Linked DNA regions of Diceros bicornis minor. The protein of the gene in region 2 interacts with the protein of the main gene of each other region in a biochemical or structural test. Links are inferred from orthologs where the notes say so. Each region holds a gene or a part of one and is shown on either strand. Other genes may lie near its edges.

What was found.
Region 1: of the proteins of PELI1 (region 2) and IRAK1, one has a biochemical effect on the other in vitro, tested with the Homo sapiens proteins (5 studies listed by BioGRID and IntAct, with this or other methods). The link is inferred for Diceros bicornis minor from reciprocal best matches to the Homo sapiens genes PELI1 and IRAK1.
Region 3: of the proteins of PELI1 (region 2) and IRAK4, one has a biochemical effect on the other in vitro, tested with the Homo sapiens proteins (4 studies listed by BioGRID and IntAct). The link is inferred for Diceros bicornis minor from reciprocal best matches to the Homo sapiens genes PELI1 and IRAK4.

Annotation. Positions count from the first base shown.
Region 1 is NC_080781.1:138,094,190-138,101,505, reverse strand, and holds the start of IRAK1 (interleukin-1 receptor-associated kinase 1), read left to right. Parts: upstream 1-4,243; 5' UTR 4,244-4,260; coding exon 4,261-4,396; intron 4,397-4,478; coding exon 4,479-4,646; intron 4,647-4,753; coding exon 4,754-4,885; intron 4,886-5,003; coding exon 5,004-5,107; intron 5,108-5,285; coding exon 5,286-5,474; intron 5,475-5,706; coding exon 5,707-5,771; intron 5,772-5,999; coding exon 6,000-6,114; intron 6,115-6,887; coding exon 6,888-7,006; intron 7,007-7,316.
Region 2 is NC_080751.1:23,497,253-23,504,488, forward strand, and holds the start of PELI1 (E3 ubiquitin-protein ligase pellino homolog 1), read left to right. Parts: upstream 1-4,164; 5' UTR 4,165-4,478; intron 4,479-7,236. UniProt on the Homo sapiens protein: E3 ubiquitin ligase catalyzing the covalent attachment of ubiquitin moieties onto substrate proteins. Involved in the TLR and IL-1 signaling pathways via interaction with the complex containing IRAK kinases and TRAF6.
Region 3 is NC_080756.1:25,385,918-25,393,741, reverse strand, and holds the start of IRAK4 (interleukin-1 receptor-associated kinase 4), read left to right. Parts: upstream 1-4,777; 5' UTR 4,778-4,863; intron 4,864-4,896; exon of another isoform or gene 4,897-5,014; intron 5,015-7,145; 5' UTR 7,146-7,194; intron 7,195-7,824. Other genes in the region: pseudouridylate synthase PUS7L, read right to left, coding at 420-1,348, 4,507-4,514.

The DNA.
Region 1 (7,316 bases), on a different chromosome or scaffold from region 2:
TTCCAGAGACAAATGCTTCTAGACACCTTTTCTTTACAAACAAAAGAATTCGGAGGGAGGGGATGGTGACCAAGATGAGAGGGGCTGTCCTTTTTCCCCAGGAGGGGAGATCTGAAGATGACCCCTGCCCCAATCAGCCCAAAGCCACCAGAAGAAGTGAAGCCCAAGCCGACGGACCGAATAGCTGATGTGTTACCATTTTCAAAGTCAGAGCAAAACCAGGTTTTGTTCCACCTTGTGGATTCTTTTGCCTTTTTTTCACCCCTGTGATGATTAGCATCATCGCTATTTTTAAGGACTCACAAGGTTGAGGTTCCTGCAAGGGGAGCCAGGGCGGGGTGTGAGCAGAGCCGACCTCGCCTCCGTGGGAGGAGGATGGAGTGGGCCTGAGCCATGTGGCTCAAAGGGTGGGCATCTCCCTGGAGGCCTCCACTGTGGCCACAGGTCACATATATCTTGACAGGGCAGATTGGCCACTCTCCACCTGACACAGCTCTTCCTGGACAGGACAGGCGGTGGGCATTACGGTCTAGGACACCTCCATCACATCCCACCCTGTCTGCAGTGCACAACGCTCATGTGACCTCTTGATCCCACCATCAGGGCAGTAAGATAACGGTGGAGGAGGTGCGCTCTCTTTGCTGTCATCTAATCCCCAGCAAAATTTGGATGTGAGAAAGCCCTTTCCCTTTCCATGCCAAAACCAGATCCTTCTCAGAAAAGCTGTTACCCCCACCAGACATTGTTTTGGGCTCACGCAACAGGGACAAATGTGTGCTCCCTTAGTGCCCAGTGGCACCTCCTCTGAAAGGCGAGGACAGTGCTGACTGTAGTGACCATTTGTACATGGGGTTCAGTAGCAGAAAGACCCAGGCAGGGTGGCTGTCCCCTCCAGAGTCGCAGTGACAACAGGCCGCCCTGTGCAGAGGGAGCCGGCTCCAGCCCGGAAGCCTGGCTGACTGTGGGAGAGGTGTGCACGGGGCGCTGGGAGCCGCCCAGGACAGACTTGGCTGGAGATGTCTCGAAAAGCCCTCTATTGATCGCATTCACCTTCAGTTTTTGTGTTTTGGGACAATTACTTTAGAAAATAAGTAGGTCGTTTTAAAAACAAAAAATATTGATTGCTTTTTTGTAGTGTTCAAAAAAAGGTTCTTTGTGTATAGCCAAATGACTGAAAGCACTGATATATTTAAAAACAAAGGCAATTTATTAAGGAAATTTGTACCATTTCAGTAAACCTGTCTGAATGTACCTGTATACGTTTCAAAACACCCCCCACTGAATCCCTGTAACCTATTTATTATATAAAGAGTTTGCCTTATAAATTTACATAAAAATGTCCGTTTGTGTCTTTTGTTGTAAAATCAAGTGATTTTTTTCATAAGGTTCTTTTACTATTTGAAAAGATGGGCAGCACGCAGTTTTATTTTATTTTTGTAAGTTTTTTAATACGTGTGAAAGCAAAGAATACTCAGCATGCCTTTCTAAGTGATGCGTTTGCACCTTTTGTTGGGAAGTACTGTATCCTGTGCTGTTAGCATTCTTGATAAATCTCTCTGTGAAAGTGACTCAAGGTCTGGGCTTTCATTATCAGACAGCTCATAGGACAGCATGGTGGTGTGTTTCCTGATTCAGTCTGGCTGTCCCTAAACACAAATAGCCAGCCGCTTTCAGGACTGCTGTGCGAGGGAAGGGCAGCCTACTCCATGCACCACCTCCCCTTGGGTGCTCCAAGGCCACACTTTCCGGGCACACTGCTCCTGCGTGTGATGGAAAGTTCTGGGGCAGCAGGCCGGGAAGGGCCAGGCACGAGTCTGCCCGCCATGCCCTAGGTTGAGAGGGCAGGCAGGCTGCAGGCCTTCTGCACAGCAGCACAACCTCCCTGTTCCTGAGGGACATGGCAGGGGTGCCTACTCGGTCTGGATATGTCTGGATATGCCGAGGTGCTTTTGGAAACCACCACCACCACCACCCGCCCCGCCCCCCAGCTCCAGCTCCAGCTCCTCTTGTGCCTATCGCCCAAGACGCTCCTATGGCCTCTGCTGACCTGGCTCCCTGCCCAAAGGGGGCGCTATTGTCATTGTGGGGTTTGCAGGCCTTATCACACCCTGCCCACGCTCCCTGGCTTCCCGCAAGGCTCTGGGCTCTCAGGAGCTGCCTGTCCCGCCACAGCCATCCTCACCAGGCTGTTGCTGGGCTGGAGGGGGTGACAACTGCTCAGAGTCCAGCTTCACATGCAAATGTGGACACACCTACTAGAAGGTGCACTTGAAAGTCCTGGCCTTGAACATTAAAACAAAGGGTTGAAATTCGACCTGTGTGTATTGAGCATCTCTTGTGTGTCAGGCCTGTCCTGGGAGCTGCAGTCCAGCAGTGAGCAAGTAGGACCAAGTCTCTTGTTTTCTTGGAGCTTAGTATGTACATGCATGATAACTTCCCATACCCGGGTTGGTAGTCTCAGTAAGGGCTGTCCCTGCGATAAGCCACTGAGGCTTAGGGCATGGCTGGCCTCCTCTTTGGGAGTGGCCAGCAGTGGCTGTGACTTCTGGGAAGAGGCTCCAATGGAGGCCTGTCTTAGGCAGACCCAGTTTCCAGAAACTCCCCTAAGTCCCAGGGAGAACAGCTTAGGGGGGAACCCTTTGGGGTCAGAATTGAGAGGGCAAGGGGGGGCCATCAGGGAAGGTGACCTGTTGCCCTGCAAGCATGCATCCAGCTGGAGAATCTACTTCTGGGGTCTTCCCCTGTGTAGTGGGGGAGGCAGGCAAGTGCACAGGCTCAAGAAGGATGCATGAGAGATGCCAGAGGGGCCCAGGGAATTTTCACCCTGGCTTACACCTGGGGAGCTGTTTGAGCTCAACCTTGTCACATGAGGGCCAGGAAACTGCACGTGCAAACTCCTGGATGTGGGAGCACTGGCACATCTGTGGAACCCTAATGAGTTCTAGATGGCTTAAGGCTGCTGACGTGTGCAGAGAGCTAGACATGACATGGGTGGGCAGTGGCCAAATTCTGACGGCATGGAGTCTGCACTAAAGAGCTGGGACCCCACCGGAGGCCTTTGGGAACCACAGGAAGGTCTTGAGCAGGAAAGTCATGTAGCTTGATTTGTCCCTGAGGAAGACCACCCAGGCAGACAAGGCAGGGAAGCATCAGGAAGCCAGCAGTTTCATCCAGGTAAGTGGTAGTAGTGAGAGCAGCGGGCCTGTGGGGAAGAGATGGACTCCAGAGATGTTCAGGGAGATGACAGGCAAATAGTGGCTGCTGATGTGGGGCCGGGGAATGGAGGAGTGCCAGAAAATCTGAAGAAATCAATGGCTGCGGAGCACTGTGGGAATGGGCAAGAGAGAAATGGAGGAAGATGTGGAACAGGCTGGGAACTGAGTTTGGTGCCTGGTGACTGCTTCAGAAAAGAGGGAGGAAGAGGCCGGCCTCTGCTGTCCTCACAGGGTCCCGTGCAAACTGAGCCAGAAGTATGACAACAAGAGGGAGGAGGGACAGCAGGAGCTGAAGGCCCGTTTTTAAGAGAGATGAATACGTTTTATGTGCTAGTGGGAAGGAGCCAGCAAAGAAGGAAAAGTGACAGATACTGCAAAGAGCTAACAATTGCTGGAGCAGGTTCCTGAAGGAGAGGAAAAGATGGGATCCAGGGCTCAGGAGGTGGGCAGAAATCCTCTGAGCGGGGGTGGCCTGCTGTACAAGCTTCCAGACCATTCTCCCTGCACCCAGCCTGACAGCCAGCTGACGGGAGTCGGCCGGGGGCCTTTGTGGGACCCACATCTGACCCCGTCCTGCCTGGCTCTCTGACGACTCTCCACTGCCTCCCAAAGAAAGCCAAAACTTCTTAAGGGGACCTCCCAGCGACTCTCACAAGGCCCGGCTCTAGCCCTTTCGGGAACGTCCCGTGCCTTGGCCGTGCCCTTTGTCCTCAGGGCTGGGAACGGCTTTCCTCCATGCCTCAGAGCCCCACTCGGACGGGCCCTCCTCCTGGAAGCCCGCCGCGCCCGCCTCGCCGGGCCCAGCGGCGCTGCCTTCTCGGGGAGGGACAGCGCGCGGCGCCCCCGTGTGGCCGAGGCTCGCGGCGGCCGCGGCCGCGGCGGACAAGATGGCGGCGGGCCCGGGCACCGCCCCTTCCGCCTCGCCGGGCGTCGCACGAGGCCGGCTTAAAGGGGAAGTGAGTCAGTGTCCGCGGACCGGGGCCGAGGCCCGCGCCCGCCGCCGCCCCGAGAGGCCCCAAGAGGCCCTGGCCCGGCGGCGGCGGCCATGGCCGGGGGGCCGGGCCCAGGGGACCCCGCGGTCCCCGGCGGCCAGCACTTCTTGTACGAGGTGCCGCCCTGGGTCATGTGCCGCTTCTACAAAGTGATGGACGCCCTGGAGCCCGCCGACTGGTGCCAGTTCGGTGGGTGGCGGCGGGCCGGCGAGGGCGGGACGGGGGGCGCTCGGGCCCCGGGCCCCCAGGCCTGACGCCCCCCACCCCGCAGCCGCCCTGATCGTGCGCGACCAGACCGAGCTGCGGCTGTGTGAGCGCTCCGAGCAGCGCACGGCCAGCGTCCTGTGGCCCTGGATCAACCGCAACGCCCGCGTGGCCGACCTCGTGCGCATCCTCACGCACCTGCAGTTGCTCCGGGCTCGGGACATCATCACGGCCTGTGAGCACGCAGCACCGGGACCCCCTGGCTGAGGGCCGCCCTGGGCCTCCCATGGGGCTCCTCCCCCCGCCTGGGCCTAACCGTCCTTTCCTTCCTTGGCGTCCCAGGGCACCCTCCCGCCCCCCACCTGCCCCCCAGCACCACCGCCCTGAAGCCCAGCAGCATCGCTGCACCCTCTGAGGCTGAGGCTCCCAGCCCCCGGAAGTTGCAGTCGTCAGCCTCCACCCTCCCCTCCCCAGGTAAGAGGGCCCGGGTGTTGGGCTTGATGGACCTGAGGAAATGGCCACCTTGACCATGGCCACGGCTGAACACTCTGCCACCGGTCTCTGCCTGCCACTCACTGGTGTCTTTATGAAGCTTTTCCAGGCTCCCAGACCCATTCTGGGTCTGAACTTGGCCCTGTCCCAAGCCCTGCTGCCCTCCGGCCACCACCACCATCTCCAGCCCCTTCCTCTACCAAGGTAGGTGGGTCCTGCCCCTGGGAAAGGTTCCAGAGAAGGAGCAAGAAACCTAGCCTTTGGTACATCTAGGATCCCCAACCAGCCCAGCTGAGGCAGCTGGCGAGGGGGTGGGGTTGCTTGTGGCAGGGACCCAGGGGAGGAGACAGGTCCTCACCTGATCTGGAGTCTCTTCCCACAGCCGAGCCCAGACAGCCAGGTGTTCCTCCTGCAGGGGGCCCACCCCTCTCCGTTCTGCTGGCCCCTCCATGAGATTTCCCAGGGCACTCACAACTTCTCAGAAGAGCTGAAGATCGGGGAGGGTGGCTTTGGGTGTGTGTACCGGGCTGTGATGAGGAACACGGTGTACGCTGTGAAGAGGCTGAAGGAGGTGGGTGGAGCATCTCAACAAAGGCCCTGGAGGGCCAGCAACAGACCCACACTTTTCTGGTCCTCCCCCACTGCTTCCCCATGCAGCTCCTTCAGCCCTTTGATTCCCCGGGTCAGGGTCCCCAGTCCCTTGGTTGTTCTGGGCCCAGGACAGATGGCCGTGGGTGTGGCCATCAATCCTTGGCTGTGAGAGTCTCATGCCGCTCCCCTACGGTTTTCCCTGGGGGCTGCAGGAGGCAGACCTGGAGTGGACCACCGTGAAGCAGAGCTTCCTGACCGAAGTAGAGCAGCTGTCACGGTGAGCCTGGGGCATCCTTCCTGGCTGGGGGCAGAGGGAGAGCCACACCAGGGCCCCACTGGCATCCAGGACCACACACCACAGGACCTGGCTCCCTCAGGCCCCCAAAGCCTGCCACACCCAGCCTAGCTGAGGAACCACCAGGGACTACCCACCCCCACAATGGCCAAATGGAAGGTGTGGTGGAGGCTGGGCGCCAGAGGGCTCAGGCCCCACTTTTTCAAGCAGGTTTCGTCACCCAAACATCGTTGACTTTGCTGGCTACTGTGCTCAGAGTGGCTTCTACTGCCTTGTCTATGGCTTCCTGCCCAACGGCTCCCTGGAAGACCGCCTCCACTTCCAGGTAGCCTTACCTGGCGTGGCACGCTTCCCTGGACCCACAGCACTCTTGGCACCTAGGCGAAGCAGGGCACGGGGACTGGGCTTTCAGCCTGTGTGAGTAGGTCCCACCAACAGGCAGGGCCTGGGCTCAGGGTTTGGCCCAAGTGGGTCACTGTTTTCCCTGGAACTCTTTCCCATGGCCTCTCCCTTGCTGTTCCTGCGTGCCCAAGAGGCAGGGCCATGGTGCCTCTAAAAAGGGGGTTATTGACTCAGAGTAGCCTGACTCCAACAACTTCTCCCCTTTGCAAGCAGAGTAGCTGGAGGCTCTTGTCATCATCGCCTTGGAGAAAAGGGGCCAGTGGGCAGCAGCAACTGGGCCCTGTCTATTGAAGCGTGCACAAGACACGGGGCAAGAGCGTCCTTGCCCTCGTGTTTAAGCGCTCAGGATAAGCACACTGTGTTGGGGGAGGTGGGGAGAAAGCCTCCCATGACATCCTGATCGCCCCGGGACCAATGAATGGACTCCAGGAATTCAGGACTGCCAAATTCTGTGATGGCTCCTGAAAGTACATTCCCTCGGCATGCTTTACAAAGCATCAGAATGGCTCAGTCTCGACCCTCTTATGAAGTAGCTCATGGAGATTTTATTCCTCATTTTCCAGAAGGGGAAACTGAGGCCAAGAGAGTGAAGTGGCTTGTCCAGACCCCGTGGTGACAGGTAGAGGGAGGGTTGGGGGTCAAGGAACGGTGGCCCCCCAGCCTCCCCTGTGCCCCTTGCTCCCTCTGCCACTCCAGACCCAGGCCTGCCCCCCTCTCTCCTGGCCTCAGCGACTGGACATCCTTCTGGGCACGGCTCGGGCAATTCAGTTTTTACATCAGGACAGCCCCAGCCTCATCCATGGAGACGTCAAGAGGTGAGGAGGGGCCATAGCCAGGCCCCTGGGGCCCCTGAGAACTGCAGGAGCAGAGTCTACGGCAAGGGGATGATGTTCCCAAACCTTCTGCCGGCAGGGAGCAGAGGCGCCTGTTTGCCAAGGCCTGGTGTCTGGTCCCAAGGAGCCCCGTCCTGAGTGACCCCCATGAGAATAGGCCTACCCTCTCCTGCTCGAGGCTGAGGTGGGGGACATCAGAGTTGGGGGCCCCAGGTCACTGAGTACCTGGCATGGGACAGGTGTAGAAGCAGAGGCCAAAGATGGGCCCCATCAATGAGCAGGGGCCGAACTG
Region 2 (7,236 bases):
TCCTTCGAACTATTGTTGTCAAGCATTTTACTTCTACATGTCATGAAACCTATAGTATAGTGCTATAATTTTTGCTATAGTCAATTATCTTTTTTTTAAATTTTTAAATGAGGGGGGAAAGTCTTTTATATTTCCTCACACAGTTACCATTTCTGGCACTCTTCATTCTTTAGTATAAATCCAAGTTTCCATGTGGTATTGTTTTTTTTTTAATGCTGAAGAAGTTGCTTTCACATTTCTTGTAGTGCAGTTCGGCTGGCAACATTCTCTCAGCTTTTTTCTTCAGCCTTCATTTTTAAAGATGTTTTCTCCAAATCTGGGATTCTATGTGACAGAGTTTTATCTCTTTCAGCACTTTAAAAATGCCCTTTCATTGTCTTCTGACTTGCATAGTTTCTGGTTAGAAGTTTACTCAAATTTTTGTCTTTGTTTCTCTATACATAATGTACCTTTTTTCCACTGACTGCTTTTAATATTTTCTTCTTATTACTAATTTTCAACAATTTAATGAGGATGTCTTTTGCAGTGGTTTTTGTGAGAGTGTGTGTTTGGGCTCATTGAGCTTCTTGAGTCTCTGGGTATATAATTTTCATCAAATATGAAAATATTTTCAACTGTATTACATCTTTTTTCTGTAACCCTTCTCACCCTTTTCTCATCTGCAACTCCAGTTATACACATAATAGAATACTTGGTATTTTCCCACAGATTACTAAGGCTCTGTTTTTCTGTTTTGGTTTTGGTTTTGGTTTTTTTTAGGTTTTTTTCCTTCGTGTGCTTTATTTTGGCTACATTCTTCTGCTATGTCTTCCAGTTTACTAATCTTTCCTTCTGAGTGTCTAATCTGCTTCTGAGAGTTAATCCCATACAGTGAAATTTTTCTTTCAGAAGTTGTAATTTTAATCTCTAGAAATTCCAATTTTTATGTCTTTAATTTCTCTCTTTCAGCCTATGGAGCATATTTATAACAACTGTTTTAGTGTTGACTGCTAATTCTATCATCTTTGTCATTTCTGGCTTTATGTTGACTAAATTCTCCTGGGTATAGATTACATTTTCCTACTTCTTTGTATGTTCTAGTTCTCTTGCTAGTTTCCAGGCATTTTCATGATCTTCCTGCCTACTCCTTAAGTGCTGGTGTTCCCCAGTGTGCTATTAATGACTCCTCCTTTTCTGCTGTGCATACTGTCCCTGGGTGATCTCATCCATTCCCATAGTTTCAATTACCGTCTATATGATGGTATGTTCCAATTTTATCTTCTGCTATTCAGATCTCTCTTCAGAGCACTAGATTCATATATATAACTGCCCACTCCACTTCTCCACCCTCCAGACCTATCTCAAACTCAACACATCCAAAGTAAACCCATCAAATTCTCCCTCAAAAGCTGTTCCATCTCCTGTATTCCCTAAGTCAGTGAATGGCATCACTACCTCATAATCATACAAGCCAGAAATCTGAGAGTCATCCTTCTCTTTCCTTGTAGTAGATATTGTGGTTCCCCCCTTCTCAGCCTCCATTCTTCTTTTTTTGGGTAATCACCTCAATTTTCACTGATATATCCACATCGTCTCATCATAGCTTTGGAAGAAGCTAAATCCTTTCAGTCTAGAGGCAGGGCATATGTCTTTATCCTAAGGCAATTAGCCTCATGCCATCCCCTGGCTACCCTTTTTAGTCTATATATAGACACATGAATCAATTCTTGAGGCTTCTGGGAATGAAGTTTTCTCTCCTTTCTAAAAGAGTTTTCAAAAATGAGTCCCTCTTCCTGTCCTTTCTTGGACCTAGATGGCGAAACTTACAGCCACAAGAATTGCTGGCAACTGTCATTTGACCATAAAGCCAATACTAAGGAAGGAAAAGCAATGAATAAGAAAGAAATGTGTCCTTAATGACATCAGCCATTGAATCATTCAGCCCTGTAGCTTGCCTTTTCAAACTGGACATTCTATCTAGACAGGTCAATATTGGTTTATTGGTTAAGCCAGTTAGAGTTGGGTTTTTTGCTGCTTGCGGACAAAAGCATCATAATTGGTAACTTTCCTTCACCCTTCATCCCCAAACACAGGCAATTACTCACTAGGTTCTATTAATTCTATCCATTCAATAGTGTCTGGTTACTCTCAGTTCTGTCTCCTGCCACTGCCAGTGCCTTAGTTCAGTCTCTCATCTTTTCTCTTTTTTTTTAATTTATTTATTTTATTTTTTTCCCCCAAAGCCCCAGTAGATAGTTGTATGTCATAGCTGCACATCCTTCTAGTTGCTGTATATGGGACGCGGCCTCAGCATGGCCGGAGAAGCGGTGCCTCGGTGCGCGCCCGGGATCCGAACCCGAGCGGCCCCGGCAGAGCACGCGCACTTAACTGCTAAGCCACGGGGCCGGCCCTCTCATCTTTTCTTAAATGCATTTCTAAGATGCATATCTTATCAAAATTTCATCTGCTTATATACAGTTCTGGCGTGGCTTTCCAATGCTTCCAGAAAAGAGTCCACATTCCTTAGCATATTGTACAAGATTTTTCATGATATAAGCTGTCTCCTCTTGCCGATGCCCGCAATCCCATTCTGATCAGCAATGCTGAACTCTTTGCTGAACCAAAATACTCTTTAATCTCAAGCCTCCAGCACTTTGCTCTTGCTGTCCTCCACCTCACTCGCAATGCCCTCATCCACTTCTCTCTTCCCCTTCCTCCACCAAAACACACAAACACACTAACTCCTAGTCATCTTTAAGTTCAAATGTTCTTGGAAGCTTTTCCTGACCTTGCCTGAATTTGGGGTAGCTGTGTATCAAAGCACCTGGTGTACTTTCCTATTATAGTATTTATCACACTGAGTCTGTTTATTTACTTGTCTCCTCTGCACAGTAAGCACTTGGAAAACAAGGAATGTTTCTTTTACATTCTTGCATCTCTATTTCTGGTACCTAATAAAGTGCCTGGGACATAGCATACTCAATAAATGTTTTTTGAATGAATAATTATGTGGTCTGCAAACATAAGGATTGCTGATCTTGAAACTCTCTGTTTGAAAACCTCAACTTTTCCTGCTCTAAATGTGTTTCTGATTTCTAAGCATTAATCTTTTTCTTCCAGGGTATGCGGTTCCAGGTAGGTAGAGAAAGAAAACAAAAGAGCTTGGGACAGGTTGCCTTTAGTCCTCTGTAGCTCCAGTAAACATGTCCTGCCTTTCACCACCCTCCTCCACCACCTATTCACAGCTGGGTGCCCAGTATGGGTGTAGACTTAGCTGACCAGCCCAACAGCATACTCAGACCTTGGTTCAGACTTCTCTTATTGCCAAATGAAAGTTTGCCAACATACATACAGTTAACAGTTTTCAACTTTCCACTTATCTTTTGAACTTATACTTCATGAAATTTGTATATCTTAAAAAATTGTAGGCTTTAAAATAAACAAATCTGGATTATTTTACACTTATCAAGTAAAAGACAGCACTCTTAATCCTGAACTTTACCTTTGCTGGCCTTAGAGTTAGATATGACTAATTGAATGAAGAAATTAACTATGGGATTCTAATAGTGGCGATGTTCCTAATAGTTTTATAATCTAATTGTTAAGTTACTGGAAGAAACTACATTTCTACAAGTCTTAGGTAAAAAAAAAACCCTTGAATTTAAGGCAGAGAGGATTCGCTTGAGGGAAGGGTGGGAAATGGACATTTGTGATTCAGGATTTGTGGAAGAAAATTAAGCAGCAGGGAAAACCGAAATATCGGGAGGAAGTCAGATTTCACTGGACACTTGTGAGTGGTGAGGCTAGGAATTGGGGGTGGAGCGAAGTAAGAAGGATTTAGCTAAGGGCGGGATCCCTAACAGCACCATAATACAAGAAGGGCCTTGTTCAGTCGGCGGCAGCACTGAACACGTCCCCTTCCTTAGTGTGTCGGTGACCATAGTAACAGTAGGGGGCCAAACCTCTCCCCGCCCCGAGCATGCGCAACGCAGAGCGAGCGGGAAGCATCCTCAACAATGTATCCTTTTTTCTTCAGTCGGAGAACTACAACTCCCAAGAGACCACTTGGTGCCGCGTCGCCGCCTCCCTCTGTGGCCCTGCCCTGTTCCCTCCCTCAGGCCCCGCCCTCCAGCTAGTCCCCTCCTCTCCCTCCGACTGTGTGTCAGTGACCCAGAGGCGGTGTGAGGCGGAGGGACCGTCGGGGGGCGCCGCCGCCGCCGCCGCCTCCACCAGCAGCACCAGCCGTGCCGCGCGATCAGATTTGCCTCGAGCCCTCCGGGAGCGCACCACAAAGCGGGCCCTGCGCCTCTCCCTCCGCCCCCGGCTCCTCAGCGCTCGGCTCCGCGGCCAACTTCCCCTCGCCGGGCTTGGCCGGCTGGCGAGGCAGGCGGCGGCGGTACGCCGGGCTGTCTGCTCGCGCTCCCCGCGCACGCACGCTTCACCCCCTCGCTCCGCGTCTTGGGGGCCGTGCTGGGATTCCGGCCACCAGCAGTTGTCCGGTGAGTGTGGCCGCGGCGCGGGAGGGATCGCGGCGGGGTGGGCGAGGGGTGCGGGCAGGGCGTGCGCGCAACTTCCTCGGCAGCTTCCCGGGGCGGCCAGCCGGCTCTCCCCGCCCGCCTGCGCGCCCCCGCGCCGGAGGCCGCCGGGAGCGGAGTTTGCGGCGCCTGCATCCCGCGCCCTCGCAGGAGGAAGCGCCTTTGTCAGGAGCCGGCCGGGCGAGCCCTCCCCCTCCGCCGGGGAGCGGGGCTCGCGGCGGCCAAGTCGGAGCCCCTCGCCCGGCCGCCCGCTGCGGGAGGGGAGCTCCGCGGGGGCGGGGAAGAAGAGAGAAATGAAAGGGAAACAAAGGGGACGGTGGGCTTTCCTTTTGTTTGTGCGAATCTGATAACTTCCTTCCTTACATAACGCAGACTTCCAAGTTAGTCATTCTTTTTATTGTTGTGATTATTGTCATCATCTCTGCGCGTCTCTCGCGTTTCCTTTCGTCTCTGGATCTTAGAGCATTTAAAAACATTAATTAATTACGCCTCCGAGGCCCCTACGAAACAAGTTAATAGCCCGTTTCCGTAAGTGGGTAAACTGAGGTCCGGAAGAGCTCTCAAATTGATGGATAGGCTTGATCTGCCACCGCGCCTGGTGTCTGAGCACCTGAAAGCATTTATGAGTAAGAGCTCGTTTTCCAATGCCCCGTGGAAAAGTTAAAGATGCTCATTTTACTTACAGGTTAACTGAAGTCTAAAAGAAGTCGGAGTAATGGTTAGGTAGTTCAAACACTAATTCTTCTTACAGAGTGTTTGAATTTTAAACCTCAAAGACTCTTGAAAAATGCTTTGAGTGGGGAAAATACTGTAAATCATAAATTTACCTCAACATCTACTTTTATTTTTGTACATGCAGGTCCCTTACAAGGCAAGAGAGCAATGATGGGAGGTGGGAGGGCAGAGATTGTTTAATGTAGATTTAACAGATTTTAATCACTATACGCGAGGAAATATGTCTTGGTTTTAATAGCACCAACAACCTTCCCATTGTTGACTCATCAAATAATTGAGTGAGCACTTTATCCATAAGGTGCAGGTTGTGCTAAGGACTGAAGCTTTAAGTGTATGATAAGGTCATCAGTTTGTTTTGGTTCAAAGGCTGTATACTTTTCTTTGCAAAATGTTGTTTTGTTTTCATAGCAGCTGATCTTTTGTTTAAGAACTGGCTTTGTCTTTTTCTACATTGAATATGTATTACTTGTATAATTGAGGCAAAACGTGAGGTTTTTTTTTTAATTTAGTTTGCATAATAGTGTGAATTTAAATTTTTGAATTGTAGAGAACGTTGTTTCTTCAGTTCTTCTGTTTCAGTTTGTGATGTTTTCTTTATAACAAAATGTTTTTTCAGAGTGATCAGTTTTACATCTCTCAAAACATTGTCCTTATATTGTACAAATACATTGTATGAATTCCTGACGTTTTTTATTCACACCAGCAACCTCTTCTGGTGGAAAATACTTAACTCTGAGGACAAGTTTATTTATTTTGGTAGTTGAACCAAACTGGAAGGCACTAAAAATTTAAATCAAGCATTATTTCTACTAGTTATTTCCTGAGGTGAATAATGATCAGAACTGTAGTAACAGTGAGTACTTTCACTTATCCTAAATTCTCTTGAATTTTATATTATATAGTTGCCCCCAGATTTTAGATTCTGGTGGTTCCGTCAGAAAAGGAAAGTGAGACATCTGGTATTTTGATATTTTTCCCCCAATCCTCTAACCTATCCCCTTTCTGTAGTATGTTAAAAGAGATCTTGAGTTTAAAGCAAACATTTGGAAGATAGAACAGTTAAGTGTATGGAAAGTTGCATGTAGTGAAGTGGTTGTAATGCCTCATCTAATAAATTTACAACTTTCAAAGAGAAAACTGTCACCTAGGTTTTTATTAGTGTTAGAGGAGTGCTGTAATGTAATAATAGTAGTATTTACTGACTTGAAAAAAAGTGAGTTGAAAATTGTACCTTAGTGGCAGATTTGAAGGGGAGGGAGCAGAATCTCTGCTCTCCTTAAAATTGTCAGCTTAAGTCACCTTACAGTTGGTTCTGTTGAACTTTTTCTGTAGCATTTAGAAACCAGGTTTACCAGAGGCATTTGTACTTTAAGGAAGCTACTAACAATGCTACTAACAACTTCTGCCTTTGCTTAATCACTGGAGTCCAAAGGCAGAAGTTAGTGTTGACTGGTGAAGGCTGGCATTGCAGGTTTCCTAATTTCTTGGGGAAAAGCAAATGACTGAAAAGTACAGGGCAGGGAGCTGAGTCCAGAGCTGCCGAATGCTTCTGAGGCAAGTTTCAAGGGGAAGCCTAAGTGTGTTTCCATTTGACTTGGTTTCAGCTTCCTTTCAGGTTGTCAAAATGTCACTTATGTATTGAGTTTTTTCATTTCAGAATATGCCTTGTTGTGGGTTGTCCAGTAGGTCAGGTGATAAGTACTACACAGTAGTCCTGGTTCGTGAACAACTATTTTCAGACAGAAGCTTCTGTAGCTGATAAAGATTTTAAGCCAAAAGACTTAGAATTGAAAACTATCTTTCTAAAGTTCTCACATACATACATCTTACCATGGCACATCAATATAGACCTATCCGAGTATTTATTATATCAGAAAGGCTTGTATGGATTATTTTATTACATATATTTTGTGTATATAATACTGTATATTAAAATTTCATAATGACAAGGATATGATGGCACTGAGATAGTCCTAGGGGTTTCTTT
Region 3 (7,824 bases), on a different chromosome or scaffold from region 2:
CCTACCTTGGGTAGTGAAGTTCAATTGTTTCAGATTACAAGGTATTCCCTTCACTTTCCCAAGCATAGCAAACATATTTTACTTATCTCCAAATCCTTAATTTTAATTAAGATAACTTTCAAAATATGAAATCAAGATTTACCACCAATAAAACTTACAAAACATGAAATAACTGCTTCAACCTTATACATCTGTGACCATGTTAACTATAAATGTCTGTTAACCATACTTTCATCAACAAGGTTAATTTTTACAATGAGTGTAATTCGAACAGCTCTATCTTCCATTAAAAAACAGACCCATATATTTTTTTCCAATATCCCTGTGGCCAAGTCTATTTAATTCATTTGAAATTATTCAGCTATCACAAAATTTTAACTAAGTTTACCCAACAAAATGGTAATGATTTATTAAATTACCTGTATGTATAACTTTCCTTTCCTGGCATTCAAGAAGAGACCTCTTCCTGTATTTGTGTGCTTTTTCCCGAAACCTTACTGTTATCACTACATTTGGATTAGCAGCATTGTAATTCAGTTCAGGAAAAGATTTGGTTTCCACAAGGTTTCCAAACTTTTTGTTGACAAAATGGTGGACAGCTTTTCTGTGGTCTTTGTTTGTATCAGGTTTAAAGGTAAATTTGGAATTTTCTTTCTTTGCATCCAAATATTTAAAAAAGCCAAATGCTTCTTCTTCGGATACCAAGTGACAGAGTTCTTCATATTCAAGATTTGGTTTTACAACAATTTCACTGTTTTTTCCTACAGTTATTAAGAAAGGAAACTTCTGCCTAATAGCACTATGCAAAATAGCCCTCTGGTTTTTGTCAAGGATTCTGCCTAATGAGAATTCAGGAGACGGTCCAATTAGCTCAGTTTTAGAATTCCACTTCTCTTTTGTATCACAGGCAAACTGATTCAGTAATTCATTAGTTTTTTCATCTAACAAGGAGCTTATTACATCAACTTTTTCTTCTTCATCTTTGGAAGCTCCATCCTTGATAGTATCTTCCTTTTCCGAACTAGACTGATGATTCTGGTCATCATCGGAGCACCCAGCTAAAGTATCAACTTCTTGACTGCTTCCCTCTTCAAAGGATAAATTTTGAAGATCTAGTTTTGATTTTTTCGCAAAATTATTTGACTCAGGTGGCACTTTACTAATCTTGTAAACAGGTTCATCAGTGGCCTTATTAACTAACTGTCCTTGTTCATCAATCTCAATGACAACGAAGTCACTTGGTGAGCTTTTTATAGTGCCACGAAAGCCAACATGATCAGTAATGAAACACAAAGAACTAAACCTGATTCTAAAATCTATATCCTCTTCCATTCTTAAATAACAACGCCTACAAAAGAAACAGAGAGGCGGTCAGTTACCAGACAGAAAAGTTGTGGATAACAAAAAAGAAACAAATTTGCAGGATTTATCTAATTCTCTTCCTCCCCATCAATTCTGAGACCCCTTAAAAGACATTAATAATTTAATATATCATGTGTATTTTGACTATCCTGTACCAAGATGAATTAACAGGCAAATTTTTTTCTGGTATAACTGGTGATTTGCAACTTGACTCTACCCGCTCAAGGCTCCCATCTATTATGCAGGATTAAAATGTTTCAAGTTTACATTAAAAATACCATTTGTAGGCCCACAAAGAAGAGACTAGAACACAGGACTGTTTACAAGGATTTGTCTAAACACCACTTCTGAAACTTAAAATTCGCAGCTAATTCCAGAGAATTTGTGGCTAGATTTTTATATATTAGGGGTTAGGGATGGGAGAAGGGATGAGGAGAAGACAGGAAGAAATAGTCCAAACTGATATATAAACGAAGTTGTAAATACCAACTGGTAATACAAATATGCTTCAAGGTGGGCTTAAGTTAATCCTGGACCTTCAGCCTCCTTGAAAGCCCAGTTACAAACTTTCACAGATACAATCTTTTGAGGTTGACCCAAAGGAAAATTCCAATCATATCACTGGCATCAGAGAGAAGAAACCCTTACAGATCTTGGCGAAGCAGTAGACAAGAGAATAATCCTCTGAGGAAGCTTTCACTCATTCTTTGCATAACCCATGGCTACCACACCAGACGAAGCTACAGGAAAGATAAAATGACCAGGGGCCCCATACTACTCAGTTCTTTGTGTTAACCACACTCTGCAGGTTATTATCATCTGGACCTTCATCCCATTTCTACAGTGTATTCTACCAATCTGAACCAATTTAGCAAACCCACCTCTATCCTTTCTATTATACCATGTAGAAATCACAGCAAATTTTCCATATCCTACTGTCCTAAAGAATATATAAGGATATATTGTTTTCCTTCATTCCTTAATTTCCCTTACAGTCTCCTCAGTTTCTTGCCCTAATTGAAATCTGGCTATTTCCCCAGGCTGCCTCTTCTGCAGTCCTCTCAAGCAAAGGCTATTTTTCCTTTCACACTCACCAAACTTAGGACCTGGAGGTTGCAAATATTTTCTATATCTGCCACTGCTTCTTCCAAACCATTTCTTCCTTCTCTACCTCCCAAAATCTCAGTTCCTTTGAAGTTCATGCCATCAGGCCCTACCATCTGCTGTCATTCCTTCTCTGGTCCCTGGATGACTCTTCTTCATTCACTGATGATTTTAACACCTGGTTCACTGCTTTCCTATTCAGCATGACTTCCATGACCATCCATATGGATCATCCATTTAACACTGTGCTCCCTCAGTTCCTCAATCTCAACCTCAACCCGCTTCCACTTCACCTTGGTCATAGTTTGATTTTCTCATCACTAAAAACTACATCAACTTGAAGCATCAGTCTGGCTCTCAGATTACTCCTGCTGTGCTTTCATCACTCTACTTTAGTACTTCCAGAATTTCTGAAATATTGTGAAGGCCTCTAACCTCTGCTTCTAGCACTAGTCCACTATAGTCCATTCTCCACTTAGCAGCCAGAATGATGATTTAAAAGGTAAACTAAATCATATCATAACTGTGTTTAAAACTCTCTAATTACGTTTATAATAAAATCCAAATTACTTACCTTGGCTTCCAAAGACTTCTAAGATTCTGGACTTTGTTCCCCAAATTTATCTTGTACTCGTTCCCATTACCCACTACACTCCAGCTACACTGGTCTTCTTCAGTTCCTTTGTGTTAACTGTTCCTGATGATTAAATCGGTCCTTCCCCAATCACATCCTCAGAGAGGTCTTCCCTGACCAATAATCTAAAGGAACCAGCAAGTCACTCTCTTTCACAAAACCCTATTTAATTTTCTGCATAGTATTTCTATCTAATAATTTTCCTCATTATTTATTGTATATCTCTCCCAGCTACAACGTTAGCTCCACAACAGCAAGAATCTTGTCTGCCTTATTCACTGATTATCTCACATTTAGAACAGTGTCAAGCACATAGCAGGCTCACAATCAATAGTGATTGTTGAATAAATGACACAACTAGTACAACATAAGAGCTGTAATGGTGAAGAGGAAGAAGGGATCACTTTTGCCTATGATAATCAGGAAAAGCGTAATGCAAGAAGAGGCCATCTAAGTCCAGAAAACGGTTCAAGAAATAGAAATGAGGTAGAGTCATATCATAAGTAACGTACAAACCAAATATGCAATGTGTTAGAGAAAACTGAACAGCCCAGATGCACAGCAGTAGGAGAAAAAGTTTTCTAGTACAGTTCTGGAAAATACAGCTGGATTAGTGCCAAACTATGTAAGACACTGAATGCCCAGTCAAAGACAGAATTCGTTGAGTGGTCAATGGATGGCCACTGGAGGTGTTCCAGTAGGAAGATGACACAATCCAAAAAGATGTTTTAGTAAGATGACTTGATGGCACTGAGCAGGATGAACGTCATGAAGAGTCAGAGGAGCTGCAAAGCAATGTGATCAAAAGCATAGTTGTAAGATTGGCCTTGGAAAGAATAATGAGCTACTCTTTCCCCAAAAAGGAGGCGATATAAAGACATTCTAAGCTGGTGGAATACGTAGAACAACTTGGGGAGGAAGCAACGACGAGGGAATTACAACCAAACATCTTAGTGCGAGTGGGACCGAGCTGGAGGGCCGCCAAGGGACCCACGTGGAGTTAAGCATGAAAGTGCCGTGTTCCTAAGCAACAGATTCGTTGATGAGGGGATAGGACGGAGAGCGGGAGCGTAGTTTGGCTGACCCAAGGACAGCCAATTGTTGGTTGAGGACAAATTCTGGGAAGATGTTAGAAATGGAGGAAGGGGGCGCCTTTGCCCTCATGCTCTTCCTTCACCAATGCTCCGCCGAACTCACTCCTACTACTCCCTATTTCTGCCATCAGTCCGCGGAACCCGTCTCCCGCGGCGCTGCCTTCTGGCGCGTCCACAAGCACCCCCAGACACCGACCGCCAGCAGCGCCACTTGCTTCTTCTCCCGGCCCCACGCCCCGCCTGTCCCAAGGCGCGATACTAGCCCACGTCGCCCTCCTTCTGGGGGCATAGGGTCGGGGTCCCAATGCCAACCTTGTCATCAAACCCCACAGCGCGCAAGAAGCTCAACTCGGTCTACCTCACGTCCAGGTGAAGACATTCCTCTGCACAACGCTGTGCGCATGCCCGGAAGCCTTAAACTAGTTGGCCTCCGACCGAGGCGTATTTAAAGGGGCAGGCTCCCACTTAAAGAAACGCCTCACGCGAGACCTGGTATTTTTCACATTGTGGAGCCGCCTGGAGGCGCAAAGAGGAAGAGGAAGGCGGGGCGGGGGCGGGGCCTGAGGGCTGGCCACGCCCCTGTCCGGCCCTTCCCCGTGCGCTGGTGCCTCAGCGGCTGGCTTCTCCCGGCGGCGCCCCGCCCGCCCCCCGTGCCTCGCCCCTGGACAGGTGAGGGATTCCGGCCGTGCGCGCCGCCTTCACCGCGGGTGGTCCGAGGTCCGCGCCCCGGCCTCCGTCCCTCTGCCCCAGGGTTATTGAGGGACCGTCCCGGAAGGAAAATCGCCTTCTTATCTTCAAAGGGAGAGAAGTTCGAGAGGAAGTAGGTGGCGTGGGCAGAGCTTGCCCCGGGATAAAGACTTGGGTGGGTGCCTGGGGATCAGAAAGTGAGTGGGACCTGCGGAGGAAGCTGGGGCATGGGGAGGCGTCCCCCAGCCGTCGGTCCAGCCAGCCCCATCGGACCTCGCCTCAAGTTTCTCAACTCCCAGGCGGTGTGTTCCGAGAACCCGTTTACGAAATGAAATCTCTTTTCCTGAGAACCAGGAAGTGAGGCCAGCAGCCGGCAGAGATGCGGCGTGGAAAGCATTCTGATCCTCCACGAGACTCTAATTAGCTTGTTCTCCGGCTTCCAAGCTTCGAGGAAATTAGAAAGTGGAGAGGGGGTGTAAGGATTAGATAAATGCATTATCAGAGGGGAAAGTCTATCTGACAGCCTGGAAGCAAGAGAAGAAACAAAGGGATGAAAAGCAGACCTTGAGAAAGGGAGAAAGCATTTTAGCCATTTAGAATGGGAACAAATAGTTCTGTTAGTGCCTCAAAAACGTATGTGCCCAAGGAGCCCTGAGAGCAGAGAGTATTGAAATCTGCCTTTTCTCTTTCTGGGGATAATCCTTGAAGAGATCTGTCAGAAAGTTCCTATTTCTTTTATTCTCCTGTTTGCATGCTAAGCATTCTTTTGAAGTTTGGTTCTACCTGTCCAAACCGAGCTCCTGATCTTCCAGGCCAAACTTACTCCTTCCATAGTCTTCTCCATCTCAGTAAATGTCAGGAAACTTGTTCAGACCAAAAACTTTAGTGCCATCTCCTCACTCTTCACATCAGCACATAGGATTCTATTTGCTCTACCTCAGAAAATATCCAGCATCCTAGGACTTGGCGCCTTCTCTGGTCCAAGCCGCCAGCACCTCCTGCCTGGATTATTGGTGTGCTCTGCTAGTTGGTCGCTCTTCCTGCTTCTCTGCCCTTCCTCCAATATCCACTATTCTCTGCAGCAGCCCCAGTGTCTTTTTAAGACATAAGTATAGAGCATGTGTCTCCTCTTCTCGAAACCTCCACTGTCTTCTCATCTCATCTCATCTCACCTCATCTCATCTCATCTCACTCTTCAACATCTCACTCATAAACAAAGTCAATACAAAGGTTATAAAGACTTAGTATACCTGGCCCCATTACCTCTCATCTTATCTGCTACTTTTCTGCTCCCTCCTCTCCAGTCTTACTGTCTCTTTGCTGTTTCTCAATGGGCCCACTTCAGACCCTTGCATTTACTGTTTCTTTTGCCCAGAAACTTTTCCCACAGATATCCCAGTGGCTGGCTTTCTCATCCCTCAAACTTTTAATCAAATGACACCTTCTTATTGAGTCCTACTCTGACTACCCTATTTAAAACTGAAACCCCCTTTTCTGTTTATTTTTTTTCCATTCCAGGTGGCACCATCTAACATACTATGGAATTTATTTGTTTATTGCCTCTCTTTCTCTATTAGAATATAAGCTCTATGAGTTCAGTTATTTTTTTTCTTATTTTCCTAACGCTTTATCTCCAGGGATCAATATTTGGCACAAAGCAGAAACCCAGTAAATATTTGATGAATGAATAATATTCTTTAATATATCCAAAGCATTTTAAATTACTTGCCATTGAGTTAAATCAATGTCTAAGAGTGATGTGTTTTGTTTAATTTATGGCATACCAGCTCGTATCCCCATTTGAGAGGGGCAGCCCTATATAATTTAATAGATCTGGAAGATATCACCAGCTTTTCTTCATAGTGATGATGTTGAGTTGTCCAAAAATAAAGATTAATGGTTTTCCAGCATATTTTGCTTAAGAAAGCATCAGAGTGAATAAGGTATTTTAGGGAGGTTGTAGACGTATTGAACATATTATGCTCTATAAAGTAAGACTCCCAATATCTGAAACGCTTAGCTATAGTCTCAGACCTCTTATTTCCACTTTCTCAGTAGCCCCTCACCACTATTCTGAAAATTGAGCTTAAATACAACTCTGCACGTTTCTGTTTTTAAAATGTGACTTAAGAATAACTTCTGCCATAGAATAATCATCGCTACATTTTATTTTGATCACCTATTGTGGACAGGATTAGGCCCTTCCAGTTTGTTGATTTTAAATCTTACAGCACCTCTTAGCTGTTACCATCTCTCTTTTTCAGATGAAGAAACCAAGGTCCGGAGATACTGAATCATTGACCGTGGTCACAGGTAGTTTGTGAAAGAGATGTATTAGCATGCAGTCCCGTGCAACCTCAAAGTCCATCTCCCCTGCACCCCTGTACACTCTCTTCCTCTGATCAGAGTGATAATGAAGCACAATCTTAAAAATGTGTTAATTTACTTGAATAGAATTTTTTGAATTCCTATTTTGGGCACAGTACTTTGAGAACATGCATATGAGTGGGAAGGTGCTGGGTTCTACAAGCAGACACTGGTTTAAGTATATTTCTCAATTATTACCTTACCTTATATTCTTCTCTGAGTTGTCTTTGAAAATATCAGTGGTTTTGTCTACTATGAGAATTAATGGTATGAGAAAACAGTCATGGAGATTTTTATTTGTTTATTTGTAAGCAATAGATCCTGTTCCACTTCTATTAATCCTAAGTGCACTAAAGTAAAATTTTGAACACTTTGAAAGAGGTGACACTTTTTATGTTTTTTCTACACAAATAATTTATTTTCATTATTGAAAATGCAAAAAAGCAAATGAAAACAAAACCACCATAAAAATCACTATCAAGAGATAACCACGGTTAATATTTTGGTGTATGTTCTTCCAAATATGTGTTGGTGGTAATATATGAATGTATGTTTAAAGTAAGATTTTAAATTCTG